Pelodiscus sinensis: one gene and its partner. Each later gene encodes a partner of the first gene's protein in a complex. Links are inferred from orthologs where the notes say so. Each region holds a gene or a part of one and is shown in the gene's direction. Other genes may lie near its edges. The genes, in order: CAMLG and GET1.

Region 1 (15,323 bases):
AATACACAACTATAGGTCAATGAATGTTTTATTTCACTCAGTCATTTTATTTCTATTTCTAAGGGATGAAAGTCCGCTGAAATCAAGTTTCCTACAGAACATGATAGAAGACAGAACAGAATCTGCCTTATCATACTATGAGTTCCTCCTGCATATACAGCAGCAAGTGAATAAATGAACCACTGAATTTTGTGGCTCTCTTGCTTAGCGAAAATTTCTGCAGTAAAGAACAATTGTGCTTGTAATATCTTTTGTTTAAGTTTGTGGCCTGGTGCAGTTGACAAGAAGATCTCACTGTGATTTCAACAAAAGTAAAGCAAATAAAGGACCACAACTGAAAATCATATGTGCAACTACATAATATTGTACTTTTAAAAAAATCAAAATATATTTGAAGAGGTTGGGTATCTTTAATTTGCTGCAAATTATGTTTTTACTGTAGGCAGTTGCAGCATGAAGTACATTTGCAATATTGAAGCAAAATAAATTTTGTAAAATGTAGTTCAAAATGTATATTTCTGTAACTCAGTTTTGCTTTTTTTGGGGGGGGAGGAGCTGCTAGATTTAAAACCTCAGTATGATTGAGTTGCAGGGAAATTGTATTGTCTTTGATACAGTATATCCACTGATGAAAGACTGAACACTTGTTTTAAGAGAGCTAACTTGTATGCCTAAAGTAGCAATGAAACAATTCATTGTGAAATGAACAAATATTTGAAAATAATTATGAAAATTTTAGGATGCAATGTTCTGGAAATGGTTATGTTGGATAGATCTAAAGGTAGCTTAAACTGACCTAGATGGATTGAGATAGATTGGTCATTGAGAGAAGTAATTAATTAAAAAAAACTTTTAAATATATCATTATTCTTGTACCTGAAAGGCAAATGTGGCATAGTAGACTGTGTAAATTGAAAATTATAATCAAGTGGTCTGGCAGCAAAAGTGAGCTTGACACTGAGCCTTGTTCTTGTAGTTAAAATTAGTTTGGTTTTGTCTTCATAGTTCATTAAATGGCAGTCAAGTGGGAGAACAGAAGGCAAAGCATAGAACCACCTTGATCCTTTAGATTTCTGTGCTCTTGTAAGTTAACTAAATGTTAGGTCCCATAAACTTAATTTTTTTTGTGAAAGGAGGCAGTGGTGGTGACATTTCAACCTTAATTTATCAATATATGTTTGAAACAGCACTGAATATTGTGTTTACTTCTAAACCTGAATCCAACCAGAAGTAATCTGGCTCTTAAAAAGCTCTCAGAAATAATTTTGATGGAAGCAGTTAACAAGCCTAATTCTAGGGCCGTGTGCATGCCAAATACATATAATAATTTAACTGACAGACTTGCGGGTACTACAGTGAAACTGGACATTGGTTTTACAGAAAGCTGATATTTTTAAATGTAAGATGTGCAAAGTATTTGAGAAGTAAAGTACATTGGAGAGCAATCTGTAGATGACAGGTTGTTTCTCCTTATGTTACTTGATTGTTGCTCCTTATATGCCTATGAAAGAGCTGTGGGGAGGGGAGGAGAAGTTTTGTACCTTACTTTGTTTTTATTTTATATTAAGGCTCATATACTTACTGCAGACTTGCTAAAATCTTGTTGGGGTTAAGTAACTTTTCTTTGGTGAGTAAAATGTTTATAATAAAGGCAGACAAGTAGGTATTGTGCCTAGGCTAGTAAACTTGTGAAAGGTTTGCAAAGTGGATTTAACGGGACCTGATAGGATCACAGTTTCTACAGCCATAGCCTGTTTCTCTGCTCCAGTTATAATAAACTAATGGGAGTTACCTCAGTGCAGGGGAGAAGCAGCTGTTTCTTCATAGAAACATAGTGAACAAGTTGAGCACAAGAAAACCACTATCATTGTGTGCTGATTTATTTCTCCCAAAGATGATTTAAACACCCTGCCTACTGTGTCTACATAACTAGTAGAAATGTATTTCACAAAAGCTTTTTTTAAGACTGTGCATTATCTTCTCTCAAAATGAAAATATAAAGTAAGTATGTAGGGGAAGTTCTGTTTTAAAATTCACTAAATGACTTTTCTGGTTTCATTTAAATCTTATTTTTTATTATTTCTTAAATGAGAATCAGTCCTTCCGACAACCACAATTTTATGAAGTGGTAATCCACTCCAGGCATGTGATGACAAAATGTACCCATTGAGATGTTGGAAATAATCCATATATCTCATAACACACACAAAAGCCTGTGGTTTTCCTTACTATCACCACGTGCTTTGTCATTATAGTCCATAAACTTAATTTTAAAATATAGCATCTGTTTCAGAGAAAGCTTCACTTTATGTAAATTAGGTTAACAGCTGTGAATGTCAGTCTACATGCCAATTCAATGACCAACAACATTTCAAGTTATGATCCCTAATTTTTTTTATGCAAAGCTTATGAACAGCAAGCAAATTAACCCCATTTGGAGTACAGTGCTTTTGGAATGTCTATAATGAATTGACTGACTATCCTGCACTATTGAAAGTCTAGTTTAATTCCATGCAGTCAGAGACAAACCTCTCCTGCTTCAGTTTGTATTATTTTTACATCATTGCAGAGTAACACCCTTGTGTAAATTGCCTTTGTCATACTTCTCACTGTTTACAGATGTCAAGAATACTGTTTTACAATAAAAACAGACAAGGGTGGCCCTGGTTGTTATCTTAGTGTGACAACTACCATAGTACACTTACAATATTTTTCTAGTTTCTGAGATTTAACTATTTGTCTGACACATTAATGTTACTTCAGTCAACATCAGTACCATCCATTTTAATTTGTATACGTCTTTATAATTTAATATATTTGAATCTCAGTCTAAATAGACTATTTTGCAATAACTAGAATAAGATTTACATTTCTTTTATTCAGAGCTAATGTCTTAACAATTTATAATCAAAGATGCAGAATGGCTGTTATATAAGGGACCATCAAATGTGATTTTAAGCTTCTGTTCACTATTATGGATGTAATCCTTATACATTTAATTTTGTAAAGTAGTGTATAATATTGTAATATTAAATCCTTGTTTTCTGAAACTCAGACACAGATCTTCAGCGTGAAGTTATAAATCTTGCCCCTTCTGAATCTGAGACAGGATTTACTTGTCCTCCTTTTTACAGTTTGTAATTTTCACTGTTTTATTCCTGTAAAAAGTCATTTGTAACACATGCAAATGCTTATTTTATCTGTGCTAATTTAAAAGATTTGGCTACTCAATAAAACTAATTGAAAGTGCTCACAAAAGTCCATTAGTCCTTTTAGTTACACAAGTGGGATTCCATATTTGACCAATTGCTGGGTGACATTTTTTCCAATGGTTGCATTAGTCACTTCAGTAACAATAATTACCTAGCTAAAGAAGAAAATACTAACTTGCTACAATTGTCAGTTTTGTAAATTATACAAAGATTGGGGCACTTCATATTTCAGGAGTAAAAACATGAAGTATTTGTTATGTAATCACTGGTAAAATTCCACTGTTAGTTTAAACAAGGAAAATTCAGAATTACTGGCTTTTGAACTAGGGATGTCAATGTGTAGTCCACTGTATGATTAACCAATAAGCCTAGGTTTATGGGTTAATCTTATCAACTATAAGCATTTCTCATCCCCTCCCACCTCCTGCTTTAAATGCCAGCTCCCCTCACAGGTCTGTTGTGCTGCCTGCCCCTCCCATCGTGCTTCTGCCTTATCAGAAGCAGCAGCACGGGGAGGGGGAGGGATCTGAGTTCCCCGCAGGCAGAGGCTGGTCTCTGTCTACAGGAAGCTCAGAAAGAGAGAGAGAGAGAGAGAGAGAGAGAGAGACACACCCCTTGGACAGAGGCTGCTGCTGAAGCAGACTCTGTCACAGCAAGCCCCAGCACACCATGGACAGAGGCTGCTCCAGCTTCAGCCCTTGACTGTGGGGTTTGGAGCTCCCTGCAGACAGGGGAGGCAGAGCTGCCTCTGTCCACAGGGAGCTTGGATCTCTTGCAGACAGAAGCTACTGCTTCCCCATGTTGCTGCCTCTGTATCAAAGGCAGCAGCTAGTCTGCATAGGGAGCTGGTTTCTTAGTCCCCAGAGACTAGAAAAGTCAAGTAACCAGTAAGAATTCATGCATTTACTCAACTATTCAATTACCCAATAGCTAACATCCCTATTTTGAACCCCAAGTATTATGCCTTATTCTTTAAAAAAAAAAAAAAAAAAAAAGAGTACAGACACAGCTGAGTCATCTCTGGGACCCTTGAGTAGCTCCATCTGTACTGTGTAGCATGAACTTCAGTATTGACAAATACATAGGAAGGGTTCTATTCAACTGTCATACACAACTGCATTCTTAATTACTTAAGTCAACAAATAGGAGGCATGGATAACTCAATTCACTGTGAATTGAGCAGCTGTTTTCACTATTTTAGAATGTTTAAAAAAAAAAGGTTAGAAAGTAACATTGAAAATAAGTGTTTATATAAATCAAGGGTATTCTTTCCTAGAATGCTGTATTCAAATGTGATCAGGCTATTGAGGAAAAATAGCACAAATAGAACATACACAGCTGTTGGGTGTAGAGAAGGTAATTGGGATGAAAGGCCTACATGAAAGGCAACAGATCTAAAAGTAATGAAAGGAAATAATTAAAACTGGCTGGTCTACTCCATAATCTAAATCAGGGCTACTCAACTTTGGAAGCCCGGGGGCCACATTGATACTACACATGCCAAGGGCCACAACTTAAGTGTGGTTACATATATATTTGTATGTATATGCAAATAGCTTCTTTCACACTGATGGACATGAATACAAAGCACTTCCCACAATGCCCCTGTGCTCCCAACACCACCTACACAACACCCAGACCCCATTTAAATCAGTTCTGCTGATATTATTAAAATGCAATATTTACCTGATTTCCACCCATATAACAGCACTTTTAATGAGCAATGACAGTCCTGGAATTAAACTACTAAAATGCATATCAACAGAAAACCATTATACTGACTACTTTTTTGTTTTGCCTTCTACCTGCGGACCATGTGTTGAGCCCTGCCTACGTAAATCCAAACCATGCTGAGGGCCACGTGCCCCACCGGCCATGTGTTGAGTAGCCCTGATCTAAATCTTCGTTTGATGCATCTGGTACTGATCATTGTCTGAGAGAAGATACTGGACTAAGTGATTGATCTGATATGGAAATTTGTGTTCCAGAATGTAATCAGGACGTTTTATTTCCTATCTAGAGTCTTTAGCAGAATGACACTTAGTATAAGACTAGGACATTGGTTGAAGGAAAGATTCTCAGCTTGAATACTAACATGAATCTAAAACAGTATTTCACCTATGTATTTACTAGAAATGGGACTGCACTACTGAGGACCTGAAGAGCCCATGAGATTTTGAGAAGAGATGTAACTGGAATTCTTGTCAGCATTTTTCTCCTATCAGAGTTGTTTTCCAAGTATTCAGTCCTTTGAGATTGTCTGTACAGGCAGTCCCCGACTTACGCGGATCCGACTTATGTCGGATCCGCACTTACAAATGGGGCTTTCTCGCCCCGGAGCTCACAGGCAGTGGTCAGCCACCTCGACCTCCGGGGCGAGAAAAGCTGCTCCCGGTGCCCCTGGTCTGCTGGGGACCGTCTCCAGCAGACCAGGGGCACCGGGAGCAAAGCGGGTCCCGCGCCAGAGCAAAGCGGGTCCCGCGCCAGAGCAAAGCCTCAGAGGCGAGGCACCCCCCGCTGCCGCTTTGCTCCCTGTGTCCCTGGTCTGCTGGGGGGGGGCGCAGCTAGTGTGCCCCCCCCAGCAGACCAGGCTTTTGTTGTGGACCCTGGGGCAGAGCAGCTGGGGCGCTGCCGGTTGGTCCTGCAGCGCCGCTCTGGGCACTACTGGACCAACCCGGCAGCACCCCAGCTGCTGGGTTGGTCCAGTAGCGCCGAGGAGCGGTGCTACTGGAGCAACCCAGCAGCACCGCCCCAGACGTCCCCAAGTCAGCCGTTGCTGAAACTGACCAGCGCTGACTACAGGAAGCCCATGGCAGAGTTGCTCTGCCCTGGGCTTCCTGGAATCAGCTGCTGATCAGTTTCAGCAGCAGCTGACTTGGGGTTCTTAAGTTGAATCTGTATGTAAGTCAGAACTGGCGGTCAGTTTCAGCAGCGGCTGAATCTGGACGCCAGTTCCGACTTACATACAGATTCAACTTAAGAACAAACCTACAGTCCCTATCTTGTACGTAACCCGGGGACTGCCTGTATTAAGATCAACAGTGCAGTAATTATATGCAAACACATTCCCTTACATCATCATAGAATACTATAACTGGAAGGAACCTCAAGAGGTCATCAAGTCCAGTCCTCTGCCCTCATGGCATGCCCAAGCACCATCTAGTCCACATCATCCCTGATAGATGCCTATCTATCCTGCTGTTAGTGATGGAGATTCTACAACCTCCTTAGGCAATTTATTCCAAGCACCCTGACAGTTAGGAATTTTTTCCTAATGTCCAACCTAAACCTTTCCCTGCTACAATTCAAGCCCCATTGTTGCTTCTATCAGAAGCCAAGGAGAACATTTTTTCTCTCTCCTGCTATCATCTTTTTAATACTGACTGACACCTTTTACATTGGGATCCCTGGCTATACAATAGTTTATCAGACCAGATTAAAAAAAAATAAAGCTAATGTTAATGTATGATAATACAGAGGTTAAGAGTCCAAAGGCAGCACGTTAAGTTATTTTTGCCATCTCTCCTATAAACAGCACTATACTCCTTCCTATAAAGAACACGCAGGAAAACAAACTGTTATTTCTGAATGGGAAGGTACAATGGGGGAAGTACAGATTAAAATTCTCAATAGCCATTATGCAAAGAAAACCCAAAAATAGGAATAGTATTGAGCTAATTGAGGCATTTCAACCTGGCACATGGGCAGTAATTGGAGTTCTGTGGAAAGTGATTAAACTTGACCTAATGCTTCCCAGGTAAAATATTAGTATAGAGTTCCAGGAATGTTTCGTTTCTTCTGCAGTTCAGAAGTTGTAAAATGTAGAAATTACCACTGCATTCTAATGAATCTAGTCCAATATAGGAGAACATTACGTAGCTAAAATTGGCATTTTGCTACTTCCTACCTGTACTCTTACACACAGGTGCCTGTGCTAAAAACAGCTCTTTAAGGTTTGATGTTGATAATCTAGTCGGAGATGGTTTAACAGAAGAGTTATTAGAGCCACTTGTTTTTTTCCAGGCGCTTTCCAGCCCCGGCCAGTAATAATCCCATACCTTGAAGAACAAAGGCAAGCACACAGTGCCAGAATGGGGAAGAAACAAAAAACAGGACTATGTAGCACTTCAAAGTAGAATAGTGGTAGAAATGTAGCCGTGTTAGTCTGAGGAAGTGGGTCTGGCCCACGAAAGCTCATCATCTAATAAACCATCTTGTTAGTCTTTGAAGTGCTACATTGTCCTGCATTTTGCTTTAGCACTTCAAAGACCAACAAGATGGTTTATTAGATGATGAGCTTTCGTGGGCCAGACCCACTTCCTGAGATCAAAGAGTGGAAGAAAATTGTGACAGTTTTCTTCCACTCTTTGATCTCAGGAAGTGGGTCTGGCCCACGAAAGCTCATCAGGTAATAAACCATCTTGTTGGTCTTTGAAGTGCTACCTCCTCCTGTTTTTTGTTTCAGCTGCATTTCCATCAGAATGGGGAAGGACTGACTCTTGAGGGCTTCCCCCAGCACGTCGCACTTCCAGCAGCGAGTCACATGCTCGTGCAGCTGGAGCCTCGATCTGTGCAGGGATGTGTCGGATCCCTTCTGAGGTAACGCTGGTGTCCAGCAGAGCCCGCTGCCCTGGGGCTGACGCGGAGGGCTGGGGGCGGGGAGCTCCGCGAAGCGCCAACGGGCCGTAAAGGGCCAGTGAAACGAAGGCGCCTGACTCCGCTGGTGGGAGTGGGGCGTCCGCGTTGCCTGCCCCTCTGCTGCGCCGTCTCCTCAGGCAGCCAACGGGCGCCGCTTCCTTCACGGCACGCGGATTCTGGTCTCCCCTCACGGGCACCGCTTCAGCGCGACACCTCCCCACACGCTCCTTTGTGTCGTCATCCCGAGGCCGGAGCCGCCATCTTTACTCTGGGCCGCCGGTCCGAGTTGGAGAGGCTTACCGGCGCGAGGGCTTTCCGAGGTCCCTTGGCCGCTCCCCTTCCCCAAAATGGCGCTGCCTGCTTCAGCAGGGGGGCGGGGACGCTAGGCTGACCGCGGAGGTGACGCCTGCGCACTAAGCGTGGGGGGAGGTGGAGTGGCCTGTCAGGCCCCATTGTTTTGGGGGGTGGAGCCGCTCGTCGTGTTTCTGCTGAGGATGGAGCTGGAGGCGCTGGCCGCGGTAGACAGCGGCGGGGCCGGGTCAGCTCCCGGCCCTCACGGGGTCCCCGCGGGGCTCTCGGCGTCGCAACGCCGGGCCGAGCTCCGGCGGAGGAAGCTGCTGCTGAAGTCGGAGGAGCGGATCAACCGCATCATGGGCTTCCACCGGCCGGCCGGGCTGAAGGGTAGGCGGGGGGGCGGCGTGTGGCCTTGGGCTAGGGGCCGCTCAAGGAGCGGTCGCTCAGGAGACCCCCGAGCGCCGAGGGCAGCCGGACTGGGCCGGAGACTGCTGAGAGACTCCTCCCATTAAAAAGGGAAAGGGGAGGTGGCGCTGGCTTAGGTTGGAGGGTGCGGGGAGCCCCTTAGCTTTGGGGGCGTAGGACACACCTCGCCTCCTCCTCCCCAGGCTTCAGTAGCAGCAGCCAGGCTCTCGTTACCTCCTTGCTCGGCAAGACGAGGGGCTCAGGGCATGGAAAGTGATGGCATCTTCCTCCTCTCTGGAGCAGGGAACAGACTCTTCCCCACCAAGATGTGTGGGGGCATGACTCTGCTATCGATGGTGGTGGGGTTTTGTGTGTGTGTGTGTGGGGGGGTCCTCATTCCTCTTCTCCCCATACTGCTGCGTGATACCAGGTAACACACCCATAAGTACTGCAGAGATTGGAGGAGTCCACTTCCCTGTGCAGGAACACACCTCAGTGCAGCAAACCCCACGTGTGTGCGATTTCCCTCCGGTGTCTGGAGTGGAGATCATTTCACTGACCTCGGAGTCGTCTGCCCTCTGTAAAATAGGTTAGGTGACTGATACACACCAGCTTGTTGCAGTATTGAGCTCTTTTTTTCTGTGTGTCTTATATTTGGAATCACACTGCACTTCTTTTCAGGGCCCTTGGGTGTGTTAGGGTTGATGTTGTTATCTATAAAGCATAATGGATCTAAATATGGCTCCGTTTAAACACAAAATAAGACATGTTCCCCTTCATTTTGCCTCCTAAATATACTTTACAATTTAAGGATCTATGCTGGAAATCCCTCTTGACACAGAATTGACTATGATTTCAATTGAATTTTCTGCATTGGATGGGGTTGACAGGATTGTGCCCTGATGCGTTGATTATGGAGTTTCTTGGGCCCAAGAAAGAAAAGCTAATGCATCTTTGCTTCACCATTACAATATTAAACAGATTGGCTACGTCTACACTGGCCCCTTTTCCGGAAGGGGCATGTAAATTTCATGAGTCGTAGTAGGGAAATGCGCGGGGGATTTAAATATCCCCCGCGGCATTTAAATAAAAATGTCCGCCGCTTTTTTCCGGCTTTTAAAAAAGCCGGAAAAGAGCATCTACACTGGCCCCGATCCTCCGGAAAAAGTAGGAATAAGAGCCTCCGGAAAAGGGCGCTTTTTCCGGAGGATCGGGGCCAGTGTAGACGCTCTTTTCCGGCTTTTTTAAAAGCCGGAAAAAAGCGGCGGACATTTTTATTTAAATGCCGCGGGGGATATTTAAATCCCCCGCGCATTTCCCTACTACGACTCATGAAATTTACATGCCCCTTCCGGAAAAGGGGCCAGTGTAGACGAGCCCATTAAGTTTGGTTTGGGTGGTTATGTGAAACTATTATAGGCTTGGTTTCATTATAATAACTGACACCACAATTTTTAACATTGTATAAAAGATACAGAAAAACAAAACCAGTAAAAGAAGATGAAATGTACAGTTGTAAGTCCTTTCATTTTAACAATATTCTTGATTCCTTTTAGCTGTATAGTTTTTTTTTTTTTTTATAAGGAGAAACTCCTGCTTGGATAGTTTTATAGTTGACTTCAATGGTTTCCTGTGCAAATACAAAATGTATATCCATGGATTCAAATTCGAGAACATGTAGCTGCAGGACTGTACAGAGAATGTAACTGTGAAAGTGGCAGCATGTTGGGCCATTGCTTGCAGAAGCCACCACCCTGTGTAGACAGCTCCTCTGGCATGGCTGTATCACCCAGTAGGGCATGGCATCAGGTTCACTGGCAACTATCCCTGGTCACACTAGCATTTGCAAGGGACTTACACGTTCCCAGGCAGGAGTCCCTTCCATGCAGCAGAATTTATACCAGTAACATTATAGTGTGACTGTTACTCTTCTTACCTATCCTTCCACATGCTAATGTATTTATTTGAAGCGTAGTAATTTATCCAGGTAATGCTACAAATAAATATCTGAGCATGTGGGAGGATGGGTAAGAAGATTAAAAGTATGAAGAAAAAGGAGGAATGGTTATTACTACAGTGATCCCCTTCCAGTGCAGTGATGGTGAGATAAGATATTAGGATGGTTTAATTCATACATAGAATTTGACTTTCAAAATCCAAATTTGTTTTTTTTTCTCATGTCAGGAATTATTATTCAGAAAAACGATGTAAATGATATTGGGTGCTTCTATTGGACCTTTCAATTCATTGTTTTTTTTAAAAAAAGAATCATTAGCTTCTCTGGTTCTCAGTTTATGTGTCTACTAGCACATGACTGCTCGGGTTGCAAGTGAAATAATGGGGTAGTGGATTTGTTTGGAAAATAAAAGAAAATGTACATGCTTTGTTTAAATTATTGTATTTTTCAAAAAAAGAAGGAAAAATAAGTTTGGATTAATAAAAGAAGGAAAGTGATTCAAACATTAGAGCTTGTTGGTAGACAATATTTGCAGGTTTTCTGACATCTGTACCACCTGTCTCCTTTTTATTTTAGCAAGAGTGAGGACAGGGGTTAGGAGAGCTGGTGGGAGGAGGCTCAGGGCAGGGGGTAGGGGATGCTGGAGTGAGTGCAGAAGTGGAGGCATAGGGTTTGGTGTGAGCGGGACACAGGGCAGAGGATGCAGAATTCAGGGAAGGTGGTGGGAGGTGCAGGACTCAAGGCAGGGAGCTCAGGCCAGGGCGCTGGGAGGCCAGGTGAGGGAAGCTTATCAGGGCTGCCCATGGTGGTGAGGATGGCACTGCTTCCATGGCACCTCCTCCCGGGGGGCCAAGGTGCGCTCTCTAGCCAGTGGCTACCCCTGGGGGGCCAGGGATGTGAGGGCCAGTCCCAGCCTCCAGTTTGTCCAGGGATGTTGCTCTGGGGCCCAGCCTAGCTTCCTCTGCCCTTCAGCTGGTCCTGAGGGGTCAGAGGTCAGCCTTGGCCTCCAATGCCCTCCCTGTCCTGCAGCAACCCTCCTGTTCTCCCCAAACTGCAGCTGGTCTGGGGCCAGGCCCAGGGGCCGGGGGGAAGCTCTTCTTGGGTGAGGGAGGCTGACTAGGTCGCAGTCCATGTCATCTCCTCTAGACTGTCTTTGTGGGGGAGGGGAGAGACAGCTCGTGGGGGAGGGCCAGGCTGCACTGCCCAACCCCAGGGATGAACCCATGAGAGTCGGTGTGGGGCAGCAGCTCATTCCCTGGGAGCGGGGCAGGAGCAGGGCTGCCAGGGGGGAGCTGGTACATGCCAGGAGCCAATTTAAAAGCCGGCTTCTGGCATGCACTGGTCCCTGAGGAGCCGGCTGCCGCCCCATGCTGTGGGCTCTACAGTATTAACAAATCTGTTAACTTGAGAGTAACTTTAGAAGCTCTGTAGTGTGTGTATATATATATTTAAAGGTGCTGTCAAGTAACAGATTTTTGTCTTAATGCTGAAGTTGGCTTTGTTATGCTTTTTGTCCTGCCGGAGACATGGTGTAATAGTCTGCACATAGGAGCAAGAGTCAGGAACTCCTGAATTCTAATCTTAACTCTCTAACACAGTTGTCTTCTGTGGCTTAGGGCAGGTCATTTAACCACTGCCTCAATTTCTCTGTTTGTTTGTAAAATGGGACTGCCGATAGTCACTCGTTTACTTCTCATTTACTTCTTCCTTTAGAAAGACTAACTAATTACTATTTATAAATGCTGTGAAGAAAAACTTGAACATGTTGTCAATTGTAAGACTGTGGTTTCACAAAAGTGTTTTAATACATTAATCTGATGCCCAAAATCAGCTGAGAGGCTGATCTAAATATTCATGGGGAATAACATTCTCTTTTGTTTCTCCTCTTCAGATGATGAAAGTCACACAGAATCAAAACTTCAGCATGAGCAAGATAAACCAAACTCCCTCCCTATTCCTGCAGTTTCAAAGCGAATTGTACTTGGTGATTCTGTCTGTAATTTGTCAGGAACATCTGACCATGCAAGTGGCATTATAGAGCTTAAGGGAGATAAAAAGGACTTGTTCAGTAAAGCGCCTGAGCTTGGTAATGATGGTACTAGTGAGCTCCGGCATCGCAGCAGAGGGGATCTGGTATCAGAAGCTTCACAGAGAGCACCTCGACACAGATTAGATCAATACTTATCAAGATTTGATGAAGCTATGAAGCTAAGACACCAGCTGATGAATGAGAAGCCTAATCAAGAGAACGGAAATGCAGGGGAGGAATTTGATTCTTTTCGCATTTTTAGATTGGTGGGATGTGCACTTCTCGCCATTGGAGTTAGAGCTTTTGTATGCAAGTACTTGGTGAGTTAAGGAAAATTTTTTGCTTTGTTGCTGCAAATCCCACGTTCATGTCACCTCAAGAAAAGGACTAAATTCATATATTTAGGATCCTCCTCTGTAGATGGTGACTAGATGAGTAGAGAACTTCTCTTTCTCTTGGTCCACCGTATAAGGCCCTGAGTAGTACGTCATTACCTTCTTGGAGTAGGTACTCATCTTAGTACCTGCAATGTCTGGGTAATGCAGCCACCAGGTGGCAGCTGAGATCAGTGCAAACTATAACTTCATCCCCTCTAGACTAGAGACTAAGAACATTAGCACCAGACTGCTTCATGCATCTGCCTGTGTCTCCAGCTGGAATCTCATCTAAAAATATGTAGCTAGCACAAATTACCACCCTCTAAGCAATTGGGTTGACTTTAGACAGCAGTGATATTGTACCTGTGGCAACAATAATTGGTAAATCAGTCTTATCTCCTTTCAGGGTCAGGGCCTAAGAGAATTATGCAGATATTCCACCTTAATGGTTAAATGTATCTGTTTAGGCCACTAGTGTTCATAAACATAAATGATTTTTCAGTGCAGTGACTTAAATTTTATTACAAATAATTGGCATTTGCCTTGGAGGAATACGTTTATTCTTGTTTTATTTTGTCTAATTTTCATATTTTCAATCTTTACAGTCAATATTTGCTCCATTTCTTACTCTACAACTTGCATATATGGGACTGTCCAAATATTTTCCAAAGGTAAGATCAGTACTTAGAAAAGATTAAATTAAAAAGAATCTAAATTTAACTTTTGCAACAATAATTTAGAGTGGGCCCAAAATGCACTTTACAAACAAGTTTTAAGTGACTGATTGATGTATCAATATGGCTTCTTTTCATTTTAAAGTAGTGAAATGAAAGACACCTATTGTTGTGGGTTAATGCATTAGCCTTTAAGTTGTTAGGATCTTAATTCAAATCCTCTTAAAACCTCAAGTGAAAATGAGTTCTATTTTCTTGCTCTTCTACCTAGCAAACATTTAGTCATAGCACAATTAAAAGCATCTGATCAGAACATAAAGTTAGTTCTTCCTTGCATAATGTAGCATTTACCTGACATCCATGCAGTACTTACCTGTAATTAGTGGTGTGTGGTTTCTTTGAGATCTTTGCACTCACGGAATTTTTCCCCCTCAAAGTGAACTGAACATTGGGCCTTCATTTTCAAAGTCTCTGAATTCATTTGCTTAATAATTGTTTAAATGTGGGGTCAAATTCAAGGTAGAAGACTTTGAAATGTGAGAATTTATTTACATGTGTAACTTCCTGCTCATCAATAGGAAACTGTATCCTTTGCTTTACATATCTACCCCAGTTAATTACAATGAAGTGTGGTAAAGGAAAGTCAACCAGTGGTTGATCTATAGTTTAAAATTATAATGTTCCATTTCAAAGGGGTGGTAAATTTAAATATAGACAGTGCGGTCGGACTTTTTTAGGTAAGTAATTGAAAACAGATAACTTTCAAGAAGTCATTCTAAACTGATGTGCAGAAAACACCAGACAATGTATTAGGAGGCTCCATCCTGGATTAGATTACCTGGACTAGCTCACTTATTAGGTTTTTCTAGCTCTACCCTCCATGATTCTAAATTCAGTTATTTAACTGTACTACTTTCAGATGTGACTTTTTGAATATGGAAATAATATTTTTGCTGATAACAATTACCCTTTGTATATGTTGCAGTGATGCTTTAAACTAGGGCTGTCAAGCAATTAAAAAATTTAATCGCGTACGCCTCCCCTTGAAAATGCTGCTGTGGCTGCACAGAGCCTGAGACCAGCTAAAGTCCCCAGCTGACCCTTGGCTCCATGCAGCGCTGCTCCTTTGCATCACTGCAACGCTTCATCAAAGGGGCAGTGCAACACAGAGCCCAGAATCAGCTGGAGTGCCAAGCTGATCCCTGGCTCCACAGAGTTTCAAAGGGGCAGCACAACGCGGAGCTGGGGATCATCTGGACACTCCAACTGGTCCCCGGTAGGGAAGTTAAAGACTAGTCGATTCCCCACCTTCTTTGCTGCCACTATCAGATAGAGGAAGCAAAAGGGGAGGGGAGGAAAGGGGTACTTCAAAGCACCCCAAGGCGGCGTTTCAAAGGGGCAGCCGTGGAGCCCAGGGTCAGCTGGGAGTGGCTGCCACGGGGAGCCCAGGATCTGCTGGGAGTCCCCAGCTGACCCCGGGCTTCGCAGCTGCCCCTTTAAAACTGCGCTTCTGGCGTTTCAAAGGGGCAGCTGCTATGAAGCCTCGGTTCAGCCTTGGACTGTCTAGCTGATCCTGGGCTCTGTGTGGCAGTGGAGCTTGGGGTCAGCTGGGGGCTCCCAGCTTACCTTGGGCTCCCCACAGCAGCGGAACCCGGGGTCAGCTGGGCAGCCCTCAGCTGACCCCAGGTTCTGAGGATATGCCGTGCAGAGCCTGGGATTAGCTGGGCCTCCCCAGCT
Region 2 (15,595 bases), on another chromosome or scaffold:
GGAAACAACAGTTGCCATTCTGATAGTGTGTCAAAAATAGGTAGTATAACTAACAAGGGAAGGCTTTTTTGGGCCTCGACATCATCTTCAAAATTGTTGCGTGTCTGGAGTAGCCCCTTGAGGACTGGTCTGTCTGAATTTGGTAGGGGACTTCCACTGTTGGCGCTGAATATTATAGTGTCCCTGGAAGTGTACAGCAGTGGTCACGATTGCAGGGGAACATGATACTTTCTCAGGCATCTTTCCATCTCTGGTATGTAAATGCTGAGAGATCAGAGAGCAACTCGGGAGTAGGGATGTTAAAGGCTAATCGACTATCCGATAAGCATTTGCTTATCAGATAGTCTGCTGATTAGTCAATTCCTCACCCCCCTTGTTGCCTCTATGAGATAAAAGCAGAAGGGGGGGCGGTACTTTAAAGCAGCAGCACCGCACAGCTGAGCCAGGGATCAGCTGTGAGGCACTGCCATTTTGAAACCCCAAGGTAGCATTTCAAAGGGGCCGCCGCTGCACAGCTGATCTGCCGCTCAGCTGTGCAGCAGCGCTGCCCCTTTAAAATGCCAAAGGGCCATGGACCCAGGGTCAGCTGGGGATTCCCCAGCTTATCCTTGGTTCTGGGGAAATGCCACGCCAAGTGCTTGGAGTTTCAAAGAGGCAGCGCCGCACAGCTGAACCAGGGATCAGCTCTGCTGCAGCTGCCCCTTCCTCTGCGCACTTCAAAGGGGCAACCGTGGAGCCCAAGGACAGCTGGGGACTCCCCAGCTGATCCCAGGCTCTGCACAGCATTTCCCCAGCTGACCCTGGATTATGGGCAGTGCCCCGCTGACCCTGGGCTCCATGGCTTTGAAATGCACAAGAGCCCCTGCTGGGGACTCTTGTACATTCCAAAGGAGGAATGCAAAACTCCGCGTGCAGCCCGGAGTCAATAGGACTTTCCAAGGGCCTTTGGCTGTACACGGCGTTCCGAATTCCTCCTTTGGAATGTACAAGAGCCTCCGTTGGGGCTCTTGTACATTTCAAAGGAGGAATGCAGAAGTGCCTATTGACTAGTTGATGGAAATTTCACCGACTACTCAACTAGTCAATTAACCACATTTTAACATCTCTACTCGGGAGTATAGGCAGTTATCGATACCCTCTGTGAATATTTTGGGTCCCTCAAAGAGCAAGTCTGCTGTGGTTTGTACTAGGAATGTGAAAAGGTAAACCTGTAGACCATTAACTGATGAGACTGGGCCCCATCTGTTAACCTTCATGGTTACATGCACCCCCCTGCACTGCTGCCGCTGATACAGAGGCAGCAGCTGCCAGGGGTCAGGCAGGAGCCAGCCTGCTCTTCTCCGAATGTAAACGTGTCACTGCTGAATTTTTCAGCAGTGACACGTTTACCTAGGGAAGATCATTTCTGGCCCCCCTGGTACCTGTCCTCCCCAGTTGATGCTGCAGACAGTCTGAAAATAACTTTAAAAAGTCTACTGAATTTGCATCAATTATCTTTCTAGAACAGAGATGAAGAATCTTTTTCATGGGAGGCGGGGGGCACACACACCAGTGAGAAAAAGCTCCCAACAAGGGGGGAGAGGGGAAAAGAAGTATAATAGCTCTCACTCCAGCCCCTGAGTGAGTGGGGCTGCCCCCAAGGTTCGGGACTGCCAGTGCTCTACTCCTCTCCTCCCAGAAGGGGAAGGGCACTGAAACTTGAAGAGGCCCAGATTGCAGGTCATAGGTTCTAGAGTATTTCTTTGCAACCACGAAAGCCAGAAACCATATAAGCTTTTCAGAATAGTCTGGAATAAAGCCACTGAGATAGAAAATTTTCTATCAACTATTTTAAAAAAAATTAGTTTTAACATGATGGAATTGAGATATTTCTTGCTTTCTGCAGAAAACAGTTTTTTGCTCAAAGGTTTTGGTCTAAAACCAGTTATAGCGCTTCACGAGAGCTGTAGCAAACTGCAACTTCTATTGAGGCTCTATTGCCTCATTTGGCTGCAATCTTATGAGTTTTTACTGAAAGCAGTTTCACAGAAAATAGAGTGATAAAAATGAAAATCTTACGTTTTCAGATTAAAAAATTCCAATTAATTTTCACAGCTGTTCTGATGCCTACATATCTTCCAGTAAAGTTAATAGAAGATGTATGGCTAAATCTCCTAGGTTGCAATACGCATTTACACCTGACATTTTGCAGAAACTCAATCTGATGTAAGGTTTTTGAGCTGTAATCAAATTGGATGGCGACAGATGTGTAGATTAACTAGTGTATTACATTATACGAACTCTTCATATTCAAGAGACAATCTTTTGTCTAGGTTAAGACTAAAGCTACCACTTTACCTCCACACTATTTGTTTCTCCATTTTCTGCAGGCAAATTGTCCTTTGTTTCTTCTTGGTTAATCTCCTCAATCTGTTTTCCTTTTGGTCCCTTTTTCCCCTTTGATTGAGTTTTCCTGTCTTGAGATTTATCCTACAATAAAGTAAATGTAGGAATTCAGATAACCTTTTAAAACAAGATGGTTCTTAATTTTCAATATTAAAAAAAGACCTAAAAAAACGATGTGCTCCATAGCCAATGAAAATTTGTTTTACAATATATAGAAACCATCTCCCTTCCAGAAGTAAGAGAACTTAGTTTTTGATTTCAGTCTGACCTATTTATAAGAAAGTCAATAGCAATTTCTCAGACGCCACAACCACCACATGTTTTTCTATGAGTGGCAAACTGTTTGAGAGTCCTAACACTGAGGAAAATACATGTTGGAAAAGAGAAACTTAAGTATGTTGGTAGAGTTGCACTAACCAATTTACTAAGTCTATGACTTGATCATGCTAATATTTTAACAAAAAATAATGCAAGCCCTTCTACGTCAGAAGCACCAAAACACATCAAGCTTTTGTCCTCCCCCTCTCCCCCCTATATATATATAAAAATAAATTTATTTTGGGACAACATAGTGATGCCATCACATCACAGCATCCACAGCCTGGGGGGAGGGGAAAAGGCATGGGCAGGTAATGCCTAGCTCCCAGCCCTGCCCCTTCTGCCCAAGACCCCACCACACACTGCCAGCCCAGCCACCAGGGGATGGGATGGGATGGGATGGGACGACAGAGCTGGGCATGGTGTGGCCGCCGTGGCACACACAGCTGGGGCTAGCTGCAGCCAGGGCGGATAAGGGGAGAGCTAGGGCTGGTGCGGCTGTGGCTGAGGGAGAGCTGGAGCAGTAATGGCCAGAGCCAGGATTGCTGTGGTCGTGGCCAGGGGGAGAAAGTCAGGGCTGGTGCGGCTGTGGCCCGGCCCTCACCAGTAGCCAGAGAGAGGGGGGTTGATGACCATAGTGAGCAGGGGGCGCAGCCTCCTAGTTGTAATTTAATAGCACAGTAAAATATTTTCAAGAACACATTCCACAATCAGTGGAAGGAGGTTGTATATTTTTGCCCAAACTCGTATGATTAAGCCAGAGATTCTCTCTGACCAGATGGATTCTTTTATGTAAAAGTCAGTATAAGTTTCCCAACAAACTTTATCATTTAGTTGCAGTCTAAAGAATGCCTCAGCTGAGTTTCATAAAAGTAAAAATTTAATACTTTTGTCTAATATTAATTGTATTAATACCAATAACTATAAATGAACAACAGATTAAGACTTACTAGTGTTTTAGACGAGAGCAATAAGAAACCAATTAACAATACTGTATTAGTAAGAAAATAGGCTAAGGGGAATGCGCTACCTTCACTTAGCTAAAAATTCTATCTTTTAGATATGACACTGCTATACAGGCAGTCCCCGGGTTACGTACAAGATAGGGACTGTAGGTTTGTTCTTAAGTTGAATCTGTATGTAAGTCGGAACTGGCGTCCAGATTCAGCCGCTGCTGAATCTGGACGCCAGTTCTGACTTACATACAGATTCAACTTAAGAACCCCAGGCATCCCCAAGTCAGCTGCTGCTGAAACTGATCAGCGGCTGATTCCAGGAAGCCCGGGGCAGGGGCTTCCTGTAGTCAGCCACTGGTCAGTTTCAGCAGCGGCTGACTTGGGGACACCTGGGGCAGAGCAGCTGGGGTGCTGCTGGGTTGGTCCAGTAGCGCCGCCACTCCTCGGTGCTACTGGACCAACCCAGCAGCACCCAAGCTGCTCTTCCCCAGGCGTCCTGATTCAGCCGCTGCTGACACTGACCAGCAGTGGCTGAATCAGGACACCTGGGGCAGAGCAGCTGGGGTGCTGCCAGGTTGGTCTAGTAGCGCCCAGAGCGGCGCTACGGGACCAACCGGCAGCACCCCAGCTGCTGTACCACAGGCGTCCGGAGCAAAGCCGTGGAGCACGGGGGCAGCGGGACAGCCCAGACGCGCCGTGACTGTCCTGCTGCCCTCGGGCTCCCCCGCTTTGCTCTGCTTTGCTCCCCGTCCCCCTGGTCTGCAGACCAGGGGGACGGGGAGCAAAGCAGAGCAAAGCCGCGGAGAGCGGACAGCCCAGACGCACCGTGGCTGTCCTGCTGCCCGCGTGCTCCCCCGCTTTGCTCTGCTTTGCTCCCCGTCCCCCTGGTCTACAGACCAGGGGGACGGGGAGCAAAGCAGAGCAAAGCCACGGAGCCCGAGGGCAGCAGACAGCCCAGACACGTGTGCGCTGCCCGCGTGTTCCGCCGCTTTGTTTCCTCTCCCTGGTCTGCTGTAGACCAGGGAGAGGGAGGGCCCCGTTTGTAACTGTGGATCCGACGTAAGTCGGATCCACGTAACTCGGGGACTGCCTGTACTTCAAAATTTCACACCCATTTTCTTGTATAAACAGCATTATGCAAAAAGAACAGAACTTATCCAATACAACTCCAGGGGCATGTCTAGACTGCCCACGGCTTTCAAAAAGATATGCAAATTTTGAGTGAAATTTGTGTATCTTCTTCCAATCCCATTTTCGGAAGAGTTTTTTCAACGGAGGGTGGGGGGAGGCAGTTTAGACGCAGTTCTTTCGAAAGAACCCTGTATACCTCATTTTTTAAGGAAGAAGGGCTCTTTTGAAAAAAGGGATTTTTTGAAAGGACCATGTCTAGACCGTTTTTTTTTTCTTTCAAAAAACACCCACCTCTTCCAAAAACGGGATTGGAAGAAAATATGCAAATTTGCACCAAATTTGCATATCTTCTTTTGAAAGCCGTGGGCAGTCTAAATGTGCCCTTGGTATTAACACACAAATACTATAAGTGAACAACAGCAGATCGATTTCTGGATGGAATAGCCATTGGAATCAACACATTTTTTGAGAATATTAGCAGAATTCAAGATACACACATTTAGTTATTCACAGCTTTCCTACTTTTTCCATTTAAAGCATTCAGTATTATATAAAAATGTAAGAGACTTCTAATTCACCAAATCTTCATGTGTCTATTTCTAAAATCGAGGTCAAGAAATTAGAAAAAAAAATTAATTTGAAGATTTAAGGCAGATACCCCAAGTAAAACTGTCTGAATTCATTTGTATACTACAAGTCTACTGATTAGGTCTGTTATATACTATATGTACTTGCATCACAAGTACATTTATAGAAAATAGTGTCAGAACAACACTTGTTTCACAACTGTAACAGCATTGCTATAACGTAAAATCTTTATTTTACATAGTCAAACTCAATTCAGCCAAGACTTGGTTCACTAGGAAAGTGGATATTTTCCCTAATTCACAATATGTCTATGTACCAAAGTGTCTTCACAAACTTCATCAGTACAGCTGCAACAATATATATGTAGACATGCCCTGAATTAAGGCTGAATACAAGTTCAAAAATATTTTGTTAAGTCAAACCATACACTTCTATGAAGTCTTTTAAAATGCAAGTACATAGGCACTTTTCCCTTCAGTTAACATTAAATATTGCGGCATCCAAATGAAATCTGTCCTAGAGCCAGCCCTGTCACCCAAACGGTAGATCTGTGCCATTCACAGGTGTCTCTCACTCACCTTCGCTGCTGCTGCTGCCGCCGCCGTCTTTTTTGGCTTGGGTTCGGCTTTGGCGGGGGCAGGTTTCTGCAGAGAGAGGCAGGTTTAGTGCTCGCCCCTCACACCGCGCCTAGGAAGGGGGCAGCCGGGGGCGTCTATACTTACAGCAGACAAGCGCGCAGACCGCCTCTTGGGCTAGAGGGAGAGACAGAGACAGCGTGAGAGTGGGGCGTCGGGATCCAATCCCGGCCCATCCCCCCCGTGGAGCCGGCACTTACCTCCTCCCGCGCCTCCCCTTCGGCCGCGTTCACCTGCGAAGAAGCGAGCACAGAAGTGAAGGTTCACGCGTGCGCAAAGCCCAAGTCCCTCAGCAACACCGCACCCACCCTCTCTTTCTCCAGGGGCGGTCTCGGCTCTGTGACGTCAGGACGCACACGCCCCTTCCCGCCGCCGCGTTCGGATTTCGAACCCCCCGAGTGCTCTCGCGTTTAGGGGCCACAGAAAATTCGAACGGCGCAGCGGCCTCGAGCCCGGGAAACGCCCCGCGCTAGGCTGCCGGGCCCGCCCATGGCCGCCGATGCCCCAGGCCGCCATTAGACCCAAGCTCCCCCAGGCCCGCGCGTCCATCTGCCGAGTCTGCGGCGCCAGGAGCCCCAGGGCGCGCGCAGCCTGCGGCTCCTTCCCTCACCTTTCTCTTGGGCATGGCGAGGCGAGCGGTGGCCTCCGACCAACAACCGGCTGCTGCTAACGCCTGAGGTCTGCGCTACTGCCCGCGCTCGGCCTGCCCGCCAAGCTGAGTCTCCTCGCTGCAGTGCTCGGAGCCCGCCCATCCCCCCATCCCATCAGCGCCAGCGGCTCCGCAACAGGATCCAGCCGGATTGGGGGGGGGGGCGGGGGAAGGGGGCGCGCCCATTGGGCCGAGCCTCCCGCGGGGCTGTTTTCGAATCACAACAAGCCCCTAGGGCGGGCCCTGTCACTTGTTCCAGGGCACGGGGCGGGGCCCATCGCGCCAGCGGCTGGGGGCTGAGCACGCCCCTGATTGGTCAAGGTCTCTCGCATGGCGACGCCTGCCGTTCGCTTTCATGCTAGGGAGGCGGGGGGGGGGCTGGGAGGCGGATGCGCACGCGCAGTGCGGGGAAGAAGCCGTTCGGTGGCGGCTCCTCGCGCGTGGCCGTACCGGCTGCCCGGTGGCGGTTGCGAGGGAGGGGGGTGGGCGGGCAATGGCGGAGGGCGGCGCGTGGCTGCTCGTGCTGAGCTCGGTGTTTCTCTGCAACCTCCTCAAAATCCTCCTGCCTTCCTGCTCCTCCATCGTAAGTGACGTCAGCGCGACGCGCTCCCTCCCGCCTTAGCAACCGCCCCGGCGAGCGGCGGCGCTCAGGGCCCTTTGTGGCGGGGCCGCCATCCCGAGGGCTTTGCCCGGGCCTGGGAGAAGCAGCCCGGCTCGGAGCCCGGGTGCGGGGCAGGGGTGCAGCGCGGGGCTGCCGCTGCCCAGCTGTGGACATTGCACCCGGCTCTGTTTTGCAGGAGCCTGCGCCAGCGGGGAGGTGCCCTTTAAAGCCGCTGCCACGGGGCTTCAGCAATGGCCACTAAACCCAACTGAGCTCCTACAGGCTACGCCTACACTGCAAGAGCTATTGGGGGATACCGGAGTATCCTGCGCCTTCACCGCAAGCGCCTTATGTTGGGCTCCCTATTCCAACGACCCTATAAACCTCAATCTATGCAGAGTAAGGGACGTTTCGGAATAGCGGGTTATTTTGAAATGTGGCACTCACTATAGACAGCTTAGTTCATCATTTGGCACTATTTCGAAATAAGATGGAAATAGATGCAATTTGCACAGCTCAAATTGCATCACTTATTTGAACTGCAGCAGTGTAGACATAGCCATAGAGCCCCCAAAACTACAGCCTAGAAAAACTAATACATTAGAAAATAATGCTGATTAATTGGTACACCTTATCTGGAGCACTTTAGTACCTCATCTTAAGAACAATATTGCAGAAATGGAGTTAAGACAAAAAGAATGATTAAGGGAACACACAAACTTGTGAAGAGAGTTCAAAGATGGATAGATAAGAGGGAACAGGATAGAAGTTTGTACCTGATCAATAGAGAGATTTGGATCATCTCTTCTCCCTGTCTGGTAATACCAGACAAGGGCACAGCCAGTGAAATTAAAAGTTACCAAATTAAAACTTGTACAAGGAAATATGTGTAATTAAAGCATTAAATTAAAAGTCACGAGTTTCTGAGGCAAAGAATTTAGCAAGATTTGAAGAAGGGCCTAGATAGTTATATGGATAGCAAGGATATCAGATAAAATAAACATAAAAAACTACAAATAGTCTTGCAACACTTTAGAGACAAAACAATGTAGATAGTATCATGAGCTTTTGTGGGCACAACCCACTTCTTCAGATGAAACTTCTGATGCTCATGATGCCATCTACATTTTTTGTTACTCTACAGTGCTGCAAAACTATTTGTTGTTTTTTAAACTTATTCAGTTAGGGTACTTCTACCCTGGATGGCTATTTCGGGATACTGGAGGCATCCCGAAATAGTTACCCTGAATCTACCCAAGCCGCCAGTTATTTTGAAATATTTTTTTAAATAAAGAGCTTGCTATTTTGCCATCCCGGTAAACCTCGTTGTACAAGGGATAAAGGATGGCTCGAAATAGCACATTATTTTGAAATTTAGCACTGTGTAGACATGCCAAATTTCAAAATAAGCTATTTCGAAATAGATTTGAGATAAGATACACAATTTGCGTTGCTCAAATTGCATATTTTATTTTGAGTTTAGGGTGCTGTGTAGACGCAGGCTACCCCTCTAAAACTTTTGAATCAGATGTAATACTTAAAGCTAACCAAAAATTTGGAAGGGATATCAATGGTTAAGTTAATCTCTGATTACTAGAGAATAGGATGAGCTATAATAAGGGAGTTCCAGGTGGGTATGCAGACAGTTTATCCCACTTCTGCCTAGCCACTGTAGAAAACAGGATCCTGGACTAGGTAGACCTCAGGTCTGATCCTATATGGCAATTCCAGTGTTTTGAAGCATTTAACCAGTTTGTAACAATGTTCCCTCTTAATTTTTCCCAACCATATGCAGAATAAATTTTATTTGTGTGCACTGAGGCATGTGTGAACGTACACCACCAGAAGAAACACATGCTACATTGTCCTGCATTTTGCTTCAGCTACCCCAGACTAACACGGCTACATTTCTATCACTATGCTACTGGCTGTGGGCGCTCTGATAATCTGCTGGACAGCATTTGAATTTCTCTAGAGCAGCAGCATGAGCGCACAATTTACAGGGAATGCTGATTGATGCTATGTTGTACAGCCTGTGTATTTATTCAAGATTTTTCTGAGGGGATGGGTGTAAAGTTGATTAATTTGTTTTGCGAGGTTTTGAGTCTTTTAGCTGATGCTGTGAATTTTTTCTGTGGTATTTGCTCTTTATTGTGTACACTTGATCTTAGCCAAAAGGCTGATAATTCTGAGTTTCTTTCCTTTGTAGATATCCAGATTGCTACAGAAGGATGCAGAGCAGGAATCCCAGATGAGAGCTGAAATTCAAAACATGAAGCAAGAACTCACAACCATTAGTATGATGGATGAGTTTGCAAGATATGCCCGACTGGAAAGAAAGATCAACAAAATGACTGACAAGCTTAAAACTCATGGTAGAATGCAATATTTACCACTTGTTCCGTTTACCTAAAAACACTTCTTTTTCCAAGTATGTGTTTTTATTTTGACTTTATTTGTCCTTATTTGCAGAACCTTTTCCTTTTTTTGTTTTTAAGTTTCATGGTTTGGTTTGGTTCAGTTTTGTTTTATTTTATTTTATTTTATTAAGAATAACACTGAGAGGGTGGGGTTTAGAGTCTCTCTGAATTGCAGGGTGTTATATAAAAGCTTTTCAGAGGAATCCACACAGAAGCTGAGGCAGAAGGCAAGTTTTCATTTTTTTTGTCTCTGAAAAAACATTCCAATTAGTACACCTAGGCTATGTCTACACTACAAAGAAAAGTCAGAAAAAGATATGCAAGTTGTGAACTGCAATTTGCATATCTTTTTCCGTTTTTCTTCCGAAAGAAGCTTTTCTGATATTTGTCCCGTCTACATGGGGCTAAATGTTGGGGAAAAATCCTTTTTTGGAACATCCCTTCTTCCTCATAGAACGAGGTTTACAGGAATGCTGAAAAAATGCGTCTGCTTTTCTGAAATTTGTTTTCAGAAAAGCAGACGTGATCCTTGGACACAGCAGAGCTCTGCAGTATAGACATAGCCTTAGACTTTTTGAACTCAAGTCAAAACAGCAGCGTGCCTTTATGACATGGAAGTGAGCCACTAAGCCTATGTCTTCACTGCAAAAAGGTATGGGTGTTTTTCTATAAAGGTGTGTCCACACTTGTACCCTCTTTCAAGAGAGGGATGCAAATGCAGACATTTGAAATTGCAAATGAAGCCGGGGTTTAAATATCCCGCGCTTCATTTGCGTATTTGTGTTATGGCGCTATTTTGAAATAATAACATGCTGTTAAAACACGGTTACAGGCAGTCCCCAGGTTACATGGATCCGACTTACATCGGATCCCTACTTACAAACGGGGTGAGGTAACCCCGTACTAGCTGCTTCCCCCCAACAGACCAGGGAGACACGAAGCTAGCGCCCCCCCCCCCCCCCCCCCCAGCAGACCAGGGAGATGCGGAGCGGCTTTTCTCAGCAGACACCTCAGCTTGAGAATAAAGAATTGAGGGAAGTGAGGTGTGGGAGAATAAAACTGAGCTCTGGAGAAATGTTTGGCTAGAGTTTCCCTTACAATATGTACCAGTTCCGACTTACATACAAATTCAACTTACGAACAAACCTACAGTCCCTATCTTGGACGTAACCTGGGGACTGCCTGTATTTAGAGAGAGAACCCTTCTCTCGAAATAACCCTTATTCCTCATACAATGAGGTTTACCAGTTATTTCGAGAGAAGGTTTTTCTCTTGAAATAAGTGCGTCTAAACGGCGTCTGTTATTTCAAAATAGCACCATAACGTGAATATGCAAATGCAACACGGAATATTTAAATCCCGGGTTCATTTGCAATTTTGAATGTCTGCATTTGCATCCCCGTGTTGAAAGAGGGTGCAAGTGTAGGCATACCCTAACAGAATATTTAATGCATGTTAGCAATCCATTTCAAAGTCTCATTGAAGACAAGGCACCCACTGGAGATTTTACCACTAAGTAAATGCTATGCCCTATGCCTGTGGTTGACCTCGCCTAGATTTACCTCTTGGTAATACTACAGTGCATTGTTTCTAGGTATGTGAACAACTAGTCAACTAGTTGCTCTCCCCCTTTGCTGTCTCTTTCAGAAAGAGGCAGGAAGGGTGGAGGAAGGAAGAGGGGGTGTTTCAAAGCGGCAGAGCCGCATAGAGCCCAGGGCCAGACCTTCGGCTCCACACAGCACGCTGCCTTGAAACAGTGCGTGCAGCCTGGGGCCAGCTGGAGACTCGCGCATGGAGCCCGGAGTCTGCCATTTTGAAATGCTGCGGAAAGCTCCCCGCAGCACTTTCGCCTTTGAAATGAAGCAACAGCGGATGCGCCCTTATTAACTAATCACATAGTCTATGCAAATTGCATCAACTATTCGATTAGCTGATTAATCTAAATTAACATTCCTAATTGTCTCTACAAAGCTGTTTAATAAAACTTTTGACTGCTGGACCACCATGTTTTAAATGGATTTCTTATATTGTTCTGAGGCACCACAGCATTTGAAACTCACGTTGAAAACTGTTTTTTCAGGTGTAACATTTGGTTGTCTAGGTTGTACTTGCAAATCACACTAAAATGATTTTTCATTCTGAATGAGATTCAGCTAGGCTAGAAAGTATTCTTGAAAACATTCTCATGAGCTCAAATGGTGGAAAAAGGACAATAATAGGATCCCTAATGTGATAGCCTGTGACTGCTAAAAAATTGTGCACTACTTCTGAGGCATAGGAAGTAGTCTCCTTTGTATTTAATCTAAAATAAGTTTTCACAGGTCAGCAAGCATAGAGATTCCTTTTGGTTGAGGATAGAACCCTTGGTTATAGCCTTCCTGTCCATAGGACAGTTCAGGGTAACCGCCCTGGGCCCCTCATTTTGGGGGGCTGCAGAAGCACTGGGCCAAGGGTGGCCCTGAGGGATTTGCAAGGGGGTCTGGCACCAGCATTGGGTCAGGCTCACTCCTGCACACACCAGTGACGGCAGAAAGCAAAGCAACCCGCTGCTGGCTCCTAGTTTTGTTCTGGGGAGGAGGCTGGAAGAAGGTATGGAGGAGACAGGGGTGGAGCAGGAGCTTGGGTGAAGGAGTGGAGGTGGGGGCAGGATGGGTTTGGAAAAGGTGGAGTGGGGGACAAGGCCTGGGATGGAGGGGTGTCCTGGGCCTCACAGGCCCATAGAGATGTCCCTGACCATAGTTATACATTACATTACTTTGTCTAGTACACTACTACAGTATTTCTAACATTCTCTCGAGTAACTTTGTTTAAGAAAGTAGCACTTCCCTCACAGAGGGATACCCCATAGCATACACTGATACTTTGGGTAATGAAAAAAAGCCTATGTTTTCCTTTAATAAATTGCCAGTGAAGGCATATAAATGGGAATATAACTTTTGTGCTGAATATTTTTACTTGGAAAGTAAAATATTAATAATTTACCAGTTTGAGGTAAGAATGTTTACTATTATATAAATACTACAAATGGCAATATTTTTTTTTCATAGTGAAAGCACGAACTGCTCAATTAGCCAAAATAAAGTGGGTGATAAATATTGTATTCTACATTTTACAAGTAAGTAACATTTTCTTATGATATAATGCAGATTACTAAAATACGTACAATGATATTTTACCGTTCTGCAGCTACTGGCTAATACAATATCTACACAATGGACCTTACATCGACACAGCTGCTGCAGTTATGTTGGTCTAAAGTCTTTTGGATAGCCGCTCTTTGCTGGTGGGAGAGAGCTCACCCAGCAGCATAATTAAACCTCCCCCAATGAGCAGCAGTAGCTGTGTCGGCAGGAGACACTCATGACATAGCACTGTTCACACCAACACTTTTATCCTTGAAACTTGTGTCAGTCGGGGTGTGGTTTTTTCCACACATCTGACTGACAGCTTTGCTGATAAAAGTTATAGTGTAGACAGAGTCATAGATGTGTATCTGACATTCTGACTATGTAAGAAGCTTTATCATGCTACATATAGGCTATGTCTACACTACAAAGAAAAGTTGGAAAAAATCAGTTCACAATTTGCATATCTTTTTCTGCTTTTCTTCCAAAAGAGGCTTTTCTAACATTTGGCCCGTCTTTGCGGGGCCAAATGCTGGAAAAAACTCCTATTTCGGAACATCCCTTCTTCCTCATAGAACAAGGTTTACCGGGATGCTGGGAAAACGCGTCTGCTTTTCCGATTTTTGTTTTTGAAAAAGCAGACTTGTTCCTTGGACGCGGCAAAGCTCTGCAGTGTAGATACAGCCTATTTGTAGTAGCCTGGAAAAGCTCTGTAGTGTAGACATAGCCTATATGTAGCATGATAAAGCGTCTTACCAGTGAACACTTATTTCCGAGAAGGGAAGATATGGCCGATAAAGAGGTGGTATTTGTAAGGAGTTTGATTATGTCTGGTCTGTAGTTTTTTGGAAAGGAGGCTTCTTGCTCTGTTACTTATGTAAAAAGCAGCTGAAGCCCAATATAGGTGTTATCTTTGTAGGCTGAGCTGGTAGCTCTGCCTTTTATTAAGATTGTTTTACTATTACAGTTATAAGATCCTGTTTTCAGTTGCTTATAACTTTACCAGACTTCAACTATTTGGACTGAAATTTTCCTTGAAAGACAGCTTAGACCGGGGTGGGCAATAACTTTTGATTGGGAGCCACTCCGATTTTGGGAAGTGGTCAAGGGCCGCACTTCTCTATGGAGGAGGTGTGGGGCTTGGGACAGAGGTTGGGTGTAGAAGGGAGATCAGGGCAGCTAAAATTGGAGTGCAGGAGATGATGTGAAGTCTGAAAGGGAGTTTTGGTGAAGTAGGGGGTTGTGACTTTGGGCAGGGGATTAGGGTGCTGGATCCAGAAGGTAGTAGGGGTACAGAAGTGAATTTTGACCTGGGGGAGGGATGTAGCACGGGGTATAGGGTCTGGGAGGGAGCTGTGATCTGGGGCAGTAAGCAGAAGATTTGGGTGGTGACCTGGGGCAGGGAGTTAAGAAGTGTGAGGGGCTGGGGTGCTTGAGGCAGGCTCTGGCCTGGGGTCACTTACCTTAGGTGGCTCCCAGCCAGCAATCCAACAGGCTCCCTTCTGCAGCAGCCCCAGCCACATGGGTTCCCTCCAGGTGATGCTCATAGCTGTGTATTCCTGGGGGGCAGGAAATTGCATGCACTCCTCCGCTTCCAGGCCAGTTGGGGACAGGGGAGCATGCAAAGTCTCTTGTCCCCCATCAGGGTCTCATGGTTTGTAAAAGGAAGCGCCAGCTGTTTTGAACAGCTGGAGGCTACTACATGCTGTGCGCCTCTGGTGGGAGGTGGAGAACAAATTTTGCATGCTCCCCTGCACCCAGGTCAATCATCGCAGCTGGGAGCAGAGGCGCACACGAAGTCTCTTGCTTCCCCTAGGAGAGTGCAGTGCATAAATGGAGCACCAGCTGCTCACACCCAGTTTGGGGTCCCGACCTGCAGTTTGAAAAACACTGATCTAGTTCATTAGCAGACTATAAATATCAGCTCAGTTTATCTTGGCTAAAAAAAAAGTCCATCATATTGTAACAGCTTTGGAGCACTATTCATCTAAACTAGAATTGATTCAGTACCTACAGTAAAAAGCACCATTTTCTCTGAGCCTACGAGTCCCCCTAGAAATTCTGATGTTGACATGTTAATGGTAGGAGGGTAGTTAAGGAGATGTAAATAGCATCCAGATTGTAAGAACTTTTTGTAGTTTTATAGGCACAGTTTTACAATTGTAAGTTTAATTGCACTTGAGAATTATTCGTATTTTTAATTTACTGCCACAAAATAGAAATTTGAACATACTTTTTGTGTGTTATTGTCCTGGCTAATGAGGGTTTCCATTCCAGGCTGCCTTGATGATCTCACTAATTTGGAAATATTATTCTGAGCCAGTTACTATACTTCCAAGCAAATGGCTAGCCCCAATGGAGCGTTTAGTAGCCTTTCCTACAGGAGTGGCAGGTAAAATTGTGTATAAGCAGTATGCATTTCTCTTTGGTGTATGTGAATGCTAATAATGTAAGGAGAAGGCACGTAGAGGTTAAAAATGCTTTTCTTATCTGCTTTCTAATAACAAAAAGAATTTGAAACAGTAGTCTTTGCTGATCAGGATTCTGGCCTTGTTCACGTTATGGGAAACTTGGAAAAAGTGAGAGAAGGAACAGCCTGCTCTCAGCATTCTTTGCTGAAGGAAACATGATTGGACTACATGGAGGCCTATAGACAAAAACAGATTGAAGCATTTCTTTTCTTGGTATTAACTTTTTCCCCAGTATATATTCAGCTAAACATAACTGCTGTATATCAACACTGTTGTATTTAATGGGAAGGCCATTTAAAACAGTTGCATCTAGAGG

Evidence for each region.
Region 2: CAMLG (region 1) and GET1 share a complex: the UniProt entries of both Homo sapiens proteins name them as parts of the golgi to ER traffic (GET) complex. The link is inferred for Pelodiscus sinensis from reciprocal best matches to the Homo sapiens genes CAMLG and GET1.

Annotation. Positions count from the first base shown.
Region 1 is NC_134727.1:28,795,197-28,810,519, forward strand, and holds the start of CAMLG (guided entry of tail-anchored proteins factor CAMLG), read left to right. Parts: upstream 1-8,259; 5' UTR 8,260-8,344; coding exon 8,345-8,531; intron 8,532-12,397; coding exon 12,398-12,855; intron 12,856-13,517; coding exon 13,518-13,583; intron 13,584-15,323. Other genes in the region: protein transport protein Sec24A, read left to right, coding at 64-178. UniProt on the Homo sapiens protein: Required for the post-translational delivery of tail-anchored (TA) proteins to the endoplasmic reticulum.
Region 2 is NC_134711.1:188,077,567-188,093,161, forward strand, and holds the start of GET1 (guided entry of tail-anchored proteins factor 1), read left to right. Parts: upstream 1-7,052; 5' UTR 7,053-7,155; coding exon 7,156-7,245; intron 7,246-7,290; exon of another isoform or gene 7,291-7,662; intron 7,663-9,472; coding exon 9,473-9,638; intron 9,639-12,730; coding exon 12,731-12,798; intron 12,799-15,085; coding exon 15,086-15,200; intron 15,201-15,595. Other genes in the region: HMGN1 (non-histone chromosomal protein HMG-14), read right to left, coding at 2,338-2,469, 5,957-6,022, 6,101-6,130, 6,214-6,246, 6,624-6,638. UniProt on the Homo sapiens protein: Required for the post-translational delivery of tail-anchored (TA) proteins to the endoplasmic reticulum (ER).